Linked DNA regions of Caenorhabditis elegans. The protein of the gene in region 1 purifies or fractionates together with the protein of each later gene. This does not show direct contact. Each region holds a gene or a part of one and is shown on either strand. Other genes may lie near its edges.

Region 1 (4,222 bases):
AGACCTTGACGAACCAACTTTGTTTTGAATCGCTTTTTCAATAATTAAATAGTTTGTTTGTTTCCATGTCATAATAAAATACGTTATCTTTTTTGCAATATTAGCTATTGAAAAAGCAGATATTGAACCAATCATTCAAATCGAAGCAAACACTAAAATTTCCGATTCCGACTCAATTTTGGTGCTTCGCTAAATATATAGTTTATTACAGAAAAGTATTAATGTCACATTCTGCAAAATATGGAACCATTTTCTATTTGAAAACAGCTTTTATTGTAAAAAGAGTTCCCGAAACATCACATTTTTTGAAGAAAAATCAGAATTTTTAATTTTTAAAAACCCTACTGTAAGAAAATTGTGTTCAAATATGTACTGTTTCTCTTTTACTACAAATTCCGCATTTAGATCTTTTACTACGATTTGTCCACATTTACTACTCTTTTGCTACGGACGTACTTTTTACTACGTTATCCCATTTCGATCGTTTGCTACCGTAGACATTTTTACCACAATGACTGGGATCCTTTACTACTGATTTTTACTGCGAATTGAAAATTAATTTTTAAAGTGTATTCTAGATATGAGCAAGTGTATGAATATTTTTAAAAATACCTAGGTCACAATTGTAGTCTCAAATAATTATAATAAATTTCAGTTGTTTTCTTTTTGGAGTTAGTTAAGGGATACTGTTGGGTTACTGTAGTGGTACTGTGGTAGTAAGAGTTTTCAGATTATATCCTGTTTTTTACTTTCTAGAAATTTATTCACTAAGAAATGATCAAAACTTATTATGAACATTTGGCTCTAGATATAAAAACACGATATGATCTCTTGCTCTCTTGCAAAAAATCTAGAATCATTAAACAATATTTGCCGGTTTTTTCTATTCATGAATGTGGATTAGGGGTGGCGATAGGTCGCCACCGCAATATTGCAAGAGTTTGGATGCAGTTTGGGCCCCGGGGGCCTGTGGAGACGCAGAGGCATTTTTGCCTACAGACTACGACGCTCCGAAATCCCGCCGCGCGTGTTGTTTATCGTTGATGAAGAGACTTGTTTTTTTTCAAACAAAAAACTAATCTATTGTTTGCTGCCAGTTATCATATTGATTTTTCTCTTTTTAAATCAATTTTTCTTTAGTTTCAACAACATATCGAAAATTATTAGTTCTTTGCAAGTTCCTTCAAGTTGCTGGCGTTTCCGGGTGGAGAATTTTCGCAATTTTCATCAAATTCAAGTTTCGACTTTTTGCAATTCCCCGCTTTATTGTGTCATTGTATGTTTTTATTAGTGAAAATTAAAAACAGTGGAAATGTACATTGCATATTAAAACTCGCGCAGATATTTTATAAAAATTTAATGTTGTTTTTATTTTACATGTGCGAAAGATTTTTCCAGCACTTTTACATAACCCCCTTTAAAGGAATTTTCTCATCTTGTTGTAGTTTTTTTCGGGAATTTATATAGAAATATAGATAAATACTTTTACGTTCCGAAGATAACTGTACTTTCAATAAAATGTCTCAAAATCTGACTCAAAGTTACAATGTTAAATCAATCACTTTGGAATTTTTGCTCCTTTAATGTTCATTTTCAGAAATGTCTTCTTTGTTTACTCTTAATACGATTTCAATCCTTATTTTTAATTCCTTATATGTATTTCTTTCAAAGAAAATAACTTTTTCCAGTGTTCGAACTTTGCGGAATGTCGGACCACGAAGAAGAGTCGCATGGAGCTTCTCCAACATCCCCTGCTTCATCAGGAGCTTCATCCCCATTGGCTCCAATTTCTCCTCGCTCGGAAGGAAACGCCCCAGAATCACCATCGGGAGATGTTCAGGATATCTACAAGGATGAATCGTTCGAGGCTCCGGCTAGTCCAGCTCGTGACAGTTCTGCTCCAGCAAGTCCATCTGCCGCAAGTCCTGCTGGCTCAAGATCACCGTCACCATCGCCGGTCAAAACCAAATCAAAAGTTATGATAGACAGTGACGAAGATTCTGATGCGGAGGAAAGTGCGAACAAGCGAGCTTTGATAGACTCTGATGCAAGTGATGCAGAAGGAAAGAAAAGGTAAGAATTAAATATTGTCAACCTGCTACGTTTTACTAATTTCTAACATTTCAGAAGAGTAATGCTCGATTCTGATGATTCTGATCATGAAGGCACCTCCAAAAAAGAGCCAACCACAAAAAATCTTTTTGGTGATGACAGCGATGACGACGACGAGGATCGACCAAAAAAGACGAATGATTTGGATGAATTTGTGGAGGGCCGTGACGAAGAAGAAAGTCAGGAAACTTCAAAGCCTGCCTACGACAGTGACGACGATGATGGTCCAGTAGACAGGCATGGACGTCATTTTGAATGGGACTTCGATAAAATGCTCGCCGAGAAAAAGGCAGAACGTAAGAAGAAAACTCGTCGTGGAGGAAAAGACGGAGGAATTGATATAATCAATGACGATGACGGTACCGTTTCACGGCTCGTTGAAAGAATGAAACACGCGGCGAAATCTGACAGAAATGCAAATATTGAACGAAAGCCTGCTTTCCAGAAAATCAAAATGCTTCCTGAAGTGAAGGCAATCATGCTTCGAGCTGGAATTGTTGAAGTTCTAATTGAAAACGGCTTTATGAGTGCTCTTTCCGAATGGCTTGCTCCACTTCCAGACAAATGCCTACCGGCACTTGATATTCGTATAACTGTGCTCAAGTTGCTTCATAATCCACGATTTTGGAAACTCGACAGAAGTACACTGAAGCAATCGGGTCTTGGAAAGGCTGTCATGATGCTTTATAAGCATCCTAATGAAACGAAAGAAAATAAAGGAATTGCGAATAAGCTCATTGGAGAATGGGCCAGGCCAATTTATCACCTAGATACTGACTACAGTACCGTTTCAAGGCAAGAACGCGAAGAAAGGGATTATTCTAGAATGCCGGAGAAAAGGAAAAAGAAGATCAAGTAAGTAATAGTAGTAATTGAAATATTTTTTAAAATTAAATTTCAGCAGCCGAGATGAAGAAGAACCCAATGATGACGATCAACCGAAACGACCACGAATCAGGGATGCCGATGAAATGGGGCCAACGAAATCTGATGATCTGAAACCTGGAGACAAGGGATACATTCCAAGAGCACGTGTTCCTAAGCCATCTACCAAAGATTACGTCATCAGACCAGAGTGGAGAGTTACTGGAGCGTTCAAGGGGGTAAGTTTGTTTTAAAAATTGTAAATTTTTGAACATTCTTAAAATTACTACGTAACTATCTAAAAGTCAAATTGTGGAACAACCTCAAAACGGACCTATTTTTATACCGAAAATGTTTTCTACCGTAATTATAATGCAGATTTGATTTTCTCCAGTACCCTTTTATCATCAGTGGATACATTTTTTAATTTATGAAAAAATTCGAGATAAATTTTAATTTTGCTTCAATTTTGCGTTTCAGGAGAAGAAATCCACTGGTAACAACAGATATGATCAGACATTCCGCGATTTCCAAGAGAGAACCAAAAAATCGAAGGCAAATCGGATTGTTAAAGTATCTCTCGAAGGAAGAAACATGGGCATTTGAACCCGGAGTTAAACTACAAATTATTGTTTTATTTATTTACCTTTCTTTGACACCTTTAAAATGTTGTACTCTGTTTTCAACATGTAATTTTTTCTGTATCTGATCGTCTTGAATAAAATGTGTTTGTCTTTGAACTTTTTTATCGTGATTTGTATTCACTATTCTATTGGTTTTTCCTCAAAATCTCTATGCATTCTCACAGATTTCAATGATAAATTGGTCACAAACTAGCCGGGAGGACGGACGGCCGAACAAGTGTTTCATGACAAGTGTGCTCCTCGATGCCATCCTCCCGGTCCAATCACTTATCAACCTATCTGTGTCCTCTTGTATATTAATGCTCTCTATTGCGCCCCAACGAAGCATCCTGAAGATTTGCTCGCACACAAAGCTCGCCATTTCTCCCGCGTACCCTCCGCTTTCGATTCACTTCCATTCTCTCCATCTAAATTTTCTCAGTTTCCGGGAATTCAATGATTCTGTTGTTGTTGGTTTTATTTGTTATTAATAATTCACAATAGGTTTTGTTAAGAGGGCATGCATGGAATCCTGTTGAAATTGGCAAAAAAATAATAATGGAGGTTGTTTTCCTGTGAGAGACAGTGCAAAAGACACCAGCATCTCTAGAGTAAACACGAAA
Region 2 (6,763 bases), 1.6 Mb from region 1:
GCTTATTGAAAATCTTCCTGGATATCCGGATAACATTCGTCTTACAAAATCCGGGCACCTTCTCATTCCAATCGCATCACATCGTTCCGAAGAAGACCGATTCCTTGAACAAAATCCATCAGTTCGAGAATTTATCACTAAAATTCTATCTCCACAAGCTCTTGGATATGTTGCTAATTATGTCGCTGATGTAGAAGGTCTTGTTATCAAAGTCAACACGGAAACTGGTCAAATCATCGAGTCGTATCATGATCAAACAGGACGAGTTGAAGCCGTCTCAATTGCGATTGACGATGGAAAAGGAAGAATGCTTCTGGGAAGTGATGTTAACTATTATATTGCTCGAGCTAAACTTTGAATATTTAATTTTTATTTCTTACGATCTCTATTGATATGTTGAAAATTATATGAAAAAAATTCAAAATACAATTTATTCGAACCCGTTTAACTGGCTATACTCGTATTCAAGATCTTTCCTGGCATATCCATGAACTGCAATTACACCATCATCCCATTCTTTTTGAGACACTCGTCGACACCAGAAGATGAAGTTCTCATTATGAGTTGCTGCGACATTCACTGTTTTGGCGAGAATACCCGTAAAGACATCATCGAATGGAAACATTTTCAGTTTTCTAATTGAATTTCTGAATCGCGCAATGGTTTCGGAAGTGAGGAAGACAGCGCCAGCGGAGACGTATGGAGGATATCGTGAAAATGGATACTCATTCAGCGAAATCTGTAACTTGTAATAATTTGGAAATAGGTTTTTTTTTTACTTGAAGCACTTACGCTGTGTTTGTGGATCTTAAGCCTGAATGGTGACGTGTCAAATACGAAGCCTTCGTAAACAAGTTCCTCTTTTTGTTTAGTTTTTGCGAATTTTACAAGATTTGGGATATGTACCAAATAATCGTCATCTACCAGAAAGGTAAAGTCTGGAGAAGAGCATTGATTTGGATTCGCAGCGTAGTCAATGGCGCCAAACAACTGAAATTAGGTTTTTATTGAGAAAAGTGTTCAAGAAAACAAACTTTTAAGGTATTGTTCCGATATGAATCTATGTCTGATATTGCAAGAATATCCTTATACTTCTCCGATTCTACATCAATTCTTCTCATTATCTCCATATTTTCCACTCTTCCCACAATGAAGATTGGCATAACTTCGACTCCATCAATCATTCGAAACACTCCCCACGTCTTTCTTACTGACTCTCGCATCTGAATATTGTTTTTTTTAAATAGAAATTTGATTTTCTGCAAATACTAACCGGTCCATTTTTCGCACTTGACTTGATTATAATAATAATAATCTTTTGTCCATTGCCAGAAAATTTGCACTGTGGATATTTTGTAAACTTGCTTCGCAATTGTAAATTACGCGTTTCCAGTGGCCAACTGAAGTCACCAAAACTCGTCTGAAAAATATAATCATTATGTTTAAATAATTTTTTCTGGCGTATAAAGTACCTCTCTAAACTTATCCACAACTCCAAGTACCCATAGAAGAAAAATCGTAATCGTGAAAATTAAAAGCTTTTGAAACGAAGAAAGTTCATGATATTTTCTGAAATGAAATTAAATATTTATGCGAAATTGAAGAGCAAAGCAATACTTCTTAAAGCTTTGAGATTTTTCAAGCGTATCCACAGAGAATTTCCTACCTTTTCAAAATCCGCACGCATAAAAACATTAAAATGTTAAATAAATATATATTTAATGCGCGGCAAGTTGTGGGTTTTGGACGTGAACACCAGATTGCGTACCGGGCATCGGAACCGACGACAATTTATTTCTTCTTCATTTTCTTCTTCTTTTTTGCGCTTAATTTCTTCTAATCATTTATACCTATAAAGTTAATCATTTTTTCAATTGATTGATTTACTTCTTGCCTAATTTTCTGAATTTTTAAGCGTTGTCCTAAATCACACGCGTTCCTCCTCATTTCTCTGCCCCAAGTTATTTGAAATTTACTTAAATGTTTCAGTTAGCAATGTCCTCTGACGAAAGTGATGCAGCCTCAAACAAAGAAGAAGACACGGTTAGTTATCGATTTTTCACTCTATGATTTGAGATTCGATCGATTTCGCCGAAAATAACAAATAAGCTTTCATGGAAAATTCACAAATTATGCGACTTTACTTATTTATCGATTTTTATCCTCTTACAGACTTTGAGCGATGATGATGGCTCAGATGTTGAAATCAAAAATTCAAAGAAGGACAGAAAGCGGAAACTTGCTTCAGAGAGTGAGGTGAGTGAAAACAATTAATTTTAAAGTTACAATCCTGTCGGTTTTTCAGAAAAGTGGCTCGGACGATGATGATGACGACGATGACGATGAAGATGAAAACGTGACCAGCAAGAAATCTAAAAAGCAGAAACGGAAGAATAAGGCTCCTTCTGGACGAGATTTTCTTGCTTGGGATGTTGAAGTCGACGACGAAGACGAAGACGACGACAATGATTACGATGACGAAGACGATCCAAGCATGAATGCAATGAACGAGCGAGAGGAAGCTGAGCGTGCGATGAAAGAAATGGAATTGAGTCAACGGAATAGAGATCGGTACAAGTTCCAAAACATGACGGAAGACGAAGTCCAGAAATACTTTGAGAACAAGTACAAGGGTGACAAAAACGACAGTCAATATGATGACGAAGATTCAGCTATGGATGATATTTCAAAAAATTCTCATCTTCCATCCACGAAGGATCCTAACCTGTGGATTGTCAAATGTCGCATGGGAGAGGAAAAACTCGTAGCGATGCATCTGATGCGTAAATGTCTTGCGGTTGAGCACACAAACGAGGTAATTGATAAATGTCCCGTAATAATGATTGCATTTAATCAATTTATAGCCATTCCAAATCAAATCAGTTGTCGTCAAGGAAGGACTCAAAGGAATGATCTATATCGAGGCGTTCAAACAATCTCACGTCATGTCTGCAATTGAAGGATTTTCAGCTCTCAATCAATTCACTATAACCATGGTTCCCATCAAAGATATGGTAGATGTATTGAGAGTTGTCAAAGACATTCCACAGTTGAAACTCGGATCATATGTTCGTTTGAAAAGAACAATGTACAAAGATGATCTGGCTGTCGTTGATCTTGTGGATATCGCTCAGAACCGTGTCAACCTGAAATTGATTCCCCGTGTCGATTATCAGAAGCGGCGCGGAGCAATGAGAACTGATGCTGATAAAAACTATAAGCTGAAAAGACGCCCAATGCCCAAGTTATTTGATCAGGATACCATCAAAGAAGTTGGAGGAGAAATTGTGACGGACGGAGACTTCTTAGTATTTGAAGGAAATCATTTCCGGCGAGGATTCCTCTACAAGTACTTCCCCATAAACGCAATTCAAGCTGATGGTGTTAAACCAACTCTTGGAGAACTCGAAAAGTTCCAAGAATCTAGCGATGATCTCAAGAGAGAATGTAAGTTTTTATTCCTTTATTCTTTTTTAAAAATACTTTTTTTCAGTGGAAACGGCTTCTCTCAAAGACACAGAAAATCCATTTGTTCCTGGAGATATCGTCGAAGTGAAAGCTGGAGAGTTGGTGAATCTTCGGGGTAAAGTGATGACGGTCGATGGGACGAAGGTTGTGATGATGCCAGATCAAGAAGATTTGAAAGAAGCAATCACTTTGAACGCTCATGAGCTCAGGAAATACTTCAAGGAAGGAGATCATGCAAAGGTTATTAGTGGACGATACGAAGGACATACTGGATTAATTGTCCGAGTAAAAGATAGCACAGCCATAGTTTTGTCTGATCTTGGAATGGAAGAATTGAAAGTTCGTGTACGAGATTTGCAACTTTGTGCTGATGTGACAACTGGAGTGGACTCACTGGGACAGTTCCAATATCATGATCTTGTACAGCTCGACCATACAGGAAATGTTGGAGTAATTGTTCGATTGGAGAAGGAACATTTGGAAGTTCTCAACATGCACGGAGTTGTGAATCGTATAAAGCCACAAGCTATTATAGCGAAAAAAGACGTTCGATTTGCGAAAGTTCTCGACAGTCAAAACAATTCCATCGAGGCTAAAGATCTGGTAAAAGTAATTGGAGGACCAAACGCAAAGGAGCGGGAAACCGATGAGGATCCAGTTGGAGAAGTTCTCTATGCGTTCCGTGGAACTGTCTTCGTTTATTCTCGCAAAGTGACTAAAAATGGAGGAGTCTTGGTTTGCAAACCAAAACAACTGATTTTACAAGGAGCTAAGAAAACAACCAGTACACCGATGGTTTCTCGAATGGCTTCACCGAATCCTATGGCATCACCAAGACATTCTTCTGGAGGAATGACTCCTCGTTCTCCACAAGATGGTATGTCAAGTCGTGGAAGCAGTGGTGGACAAACTCCGAGACAAGGTGGAGGAGGAGGACGTGGTGGTCATTTTGGAACTGCAAATCAACAAAAAGTTCGTCGTGATCTTACCCTCATTGGAAAAAATGTTCGAATCATCAAAGGTCCGATGAAGGGCCACTTTGGAATTGTTCGAGATGCCACAGAAGACACAGTTCGTGTCGAATTGCATACACAATGCAGAACGATTTCTGTCGATCGTGCTCGTGTGATGGTTGTCGGAGACACTGGAATAACAGCTGGAAGTGGAGGTGGAAGCTCGTTCTACAGTTCTTCGAAGACACCGATGCGCGACTCTGGCAAAACTCCAATGTATGGATCGAAGACTCCGATGTATGGAGCACAAACACCGATGTATGGCTCGATGACTCCAGCTTATGATGGAGGAAGAACACCGGCGTATGGAGAAGGTGGACGTACCCCTGCATATGGAAGCAAAACTCCAGCATATGGAGATCTTGATGAACATTCATCATCACGTACTCCAGCCTATGGAAATGACAGTTCAAGAACTCCTGCTTACGGTAGTGCTGATGGTGCACGAACTCCTGCCTATGGAAGTACGGAAGGTGGACGGACTCCAGCATACGGATCAATGGACAACAGTAGAACTCCTGCATATGATGATTCTGGAAGAACGCCTGGCTATGAAAGTATGCCATCGAGAACTCCGAACTATGATTCAAGCAGTAAGACTCCAGCCTATCCAGAATCCGAACATTCCGCCAGAACTCCAGCATACAATAATGATTATGATATTCGTGAGTTGAACCATTACATATCTTTGCAATTTTTAATTTTTAATTGTTTAGCGTTGAGTCCGGCATACGAGCCCGATGCACCTGAAGCGTATGACAATGCTCCAGCAAGAACTCCAGCATTCGTGTCCCGTACTCCAGGATACGACACATATGAGAACAGCAGCCCGACATACGAACCAGATGCAGCTACAAAAGTTGAGGAAGACATCGGAGACACTTCGTCTCCAACTTATGATTCTCCTCCACACTCGTACGTTGTGCCAACTCCAGGTGCAATGCTCAATCCAGCAACTCCGGGAGCCTATCACGTTGATACACCTGGATTCGCTGCTCCAATGACGCCAGGAAGTGGAGGAGCATACGATCAATATGTTGCGCCTTCTCCATTCGCTGGCTACGACAGTAACAACTACAACAATGCCGATGGAGCTATTGAGCAAATTCGTAAGTTGCTCAAGATTTTATTTGAATTATAGTGAAGCTAATTTCTTATTTTTAGCGGACCACTTCCTGGCTCAAGGTGTGTGGATTGTGCAGAATCTGTGTGTGCAAATCAAGGACCACGAAGGGCGATTCAACGGACGTGAGGCGATCATTAAAGATGTTACCGATGGAAAAGTGGATGTCTACATGCCAGATCACAAGTGCAACTTGGAAGTTGATTTCGATCAGCTAACTCCAATGAAACCGCAACCAGGAGATGATGTAAGAAAATATTAAATTGAAAATGCTAAATGAAATGTTAACTTTAAGGCTCGAGTGATTTTCGGACAAGATGCAGGTCACAGTGGACAACTTGTTTCCATGGATGGATTCGAAGCAGTTATCCGATCACAGGAAGACATGTCAGACATGCGAGTCATCAACATTGGATTGTGCTGCAAAATGCATAGCGAAACTTGAAAAGTTGTTCACTTTACTATTTATTCTCCAATTTTTCTTCGCTTTTTTCTGTTCAAATGTTATTCGACACTCGACGAGTTTCACTTCGTTGTGTCTATTTTTTGGTGTCACCCTTTGAAAATCGTTCATTTATTTATTTATTATACACTGTTTTATTTGAATTAAACATTTCTTAAAATGATTGCTGCTTTTCTTTTTCAAAAACAAATACACTTGTTGTACAACCAAGAGATATAATGAAAAGTTTAATTTCAGAGAACATATTTTTTGTGAGATCAAGAATGAAGAGGGTAGTAAAGAGATTCAGGCTGAAGGATTATAATCAGTTAGTTCGAAATTTTCAACTAGTTTGTTCACTCTTCGCACAATATCTCGTCCGTCTCGATTGAAAATATCATGGAATTGATTATCATCGTCCTCTGGCATATCACCACGAAGTCTACATAGAAATTCTGGTTTTCGAGGCAAAGTGTAGAGAGCCGCAGCGACAGCAGTTCTGATTGGCCAAGAATGAAGTTGAGAAAGATGTTTGTCATAAGAAGAACGAGCGATTGTCGATACATTTTCATCATTCGACGTGAACACTCCATCCAGCAAATCGATGACGAATTCAAGAGCTCTGAAATGATGAACTCATTGATTTTCTCTTCTACGAATCCACGAATACCTGTTAAGAACCATCAAATGTCCAGTGCCGCTTCTATTTGGTTTCTG

What was found. The genes of interacting proteins can lie anywhere in the genome.
Region 2: the proteins of F13B12.1 (region 1) and spt-5 fractionate together in Caenorhabditis elegans (co-fractionation; one large-scale study listed by BioGRID). This does not show direct contact.

Annotation. Positions count from the first base shown.
Region 1 is NC_003282.8:10,422,102-10,426,323, reverse strand, and holds F13B12.1 (IWS1-like protein), read left to right. Parts: upstream 1-1,688; 5' UTR 1,689-1,705; coding exon 1,706-2,073; intron 2,074-2,127; coding exon 2,128-2,967; intron 2,968-3,013; coding exon 3,014-3,215; intron 3,216-3,456; coding exon 3,457-3,582; 3' UTR 3,583-3,714; downstream 3,715-4,222. Other genes in the region: F13B12.2 (Major facilitator superfamily (MFS) profile domain-containing protein), read left to right, coding at 1-28.
Region 2 is NC_003282.8:12,049,502-12,056,264, forward strand, and holds spt-5 (Transcription elongation factor SPT5), read left to right. Parts: upstream 1-1,989; 5' UTR 1,990-1,995; coding exon 1,996-2,043; intron 2,044-2,172; coding exon 2,173-2,256; intron 2,257-2,305; coding exon 2,306-2,815; intron 2,816-2,864; coding exon 2,865-3,447; intron 3,448-3,493; coding exon 3,494-5,146; intron 5,147-5,197; coding exon 5,198-5,590; intron 5,591-5,645; coding exon 5,646-5,851; intron 5,852-5,899; coding exon 5,900-6,049; 3' UTR 6,050-6,245; downstream 6,246-6,763. Other genes in the region: T12G3.4 (Strictosidine synthase conserved region domain-containing protein), read left to right, coding at 1-358; Beta-1,3-galactosyltransferase bre-5, read right to left, coding at 431-739, 793-990, 1,035-1,223, 1,274-1,420, 1,473-1,569, 1,667-1,695; K08E4.2 (Glycolipid transfer protein domain-containing protein), read right to left, coding at 6,353-6,668, 6,717-6,763.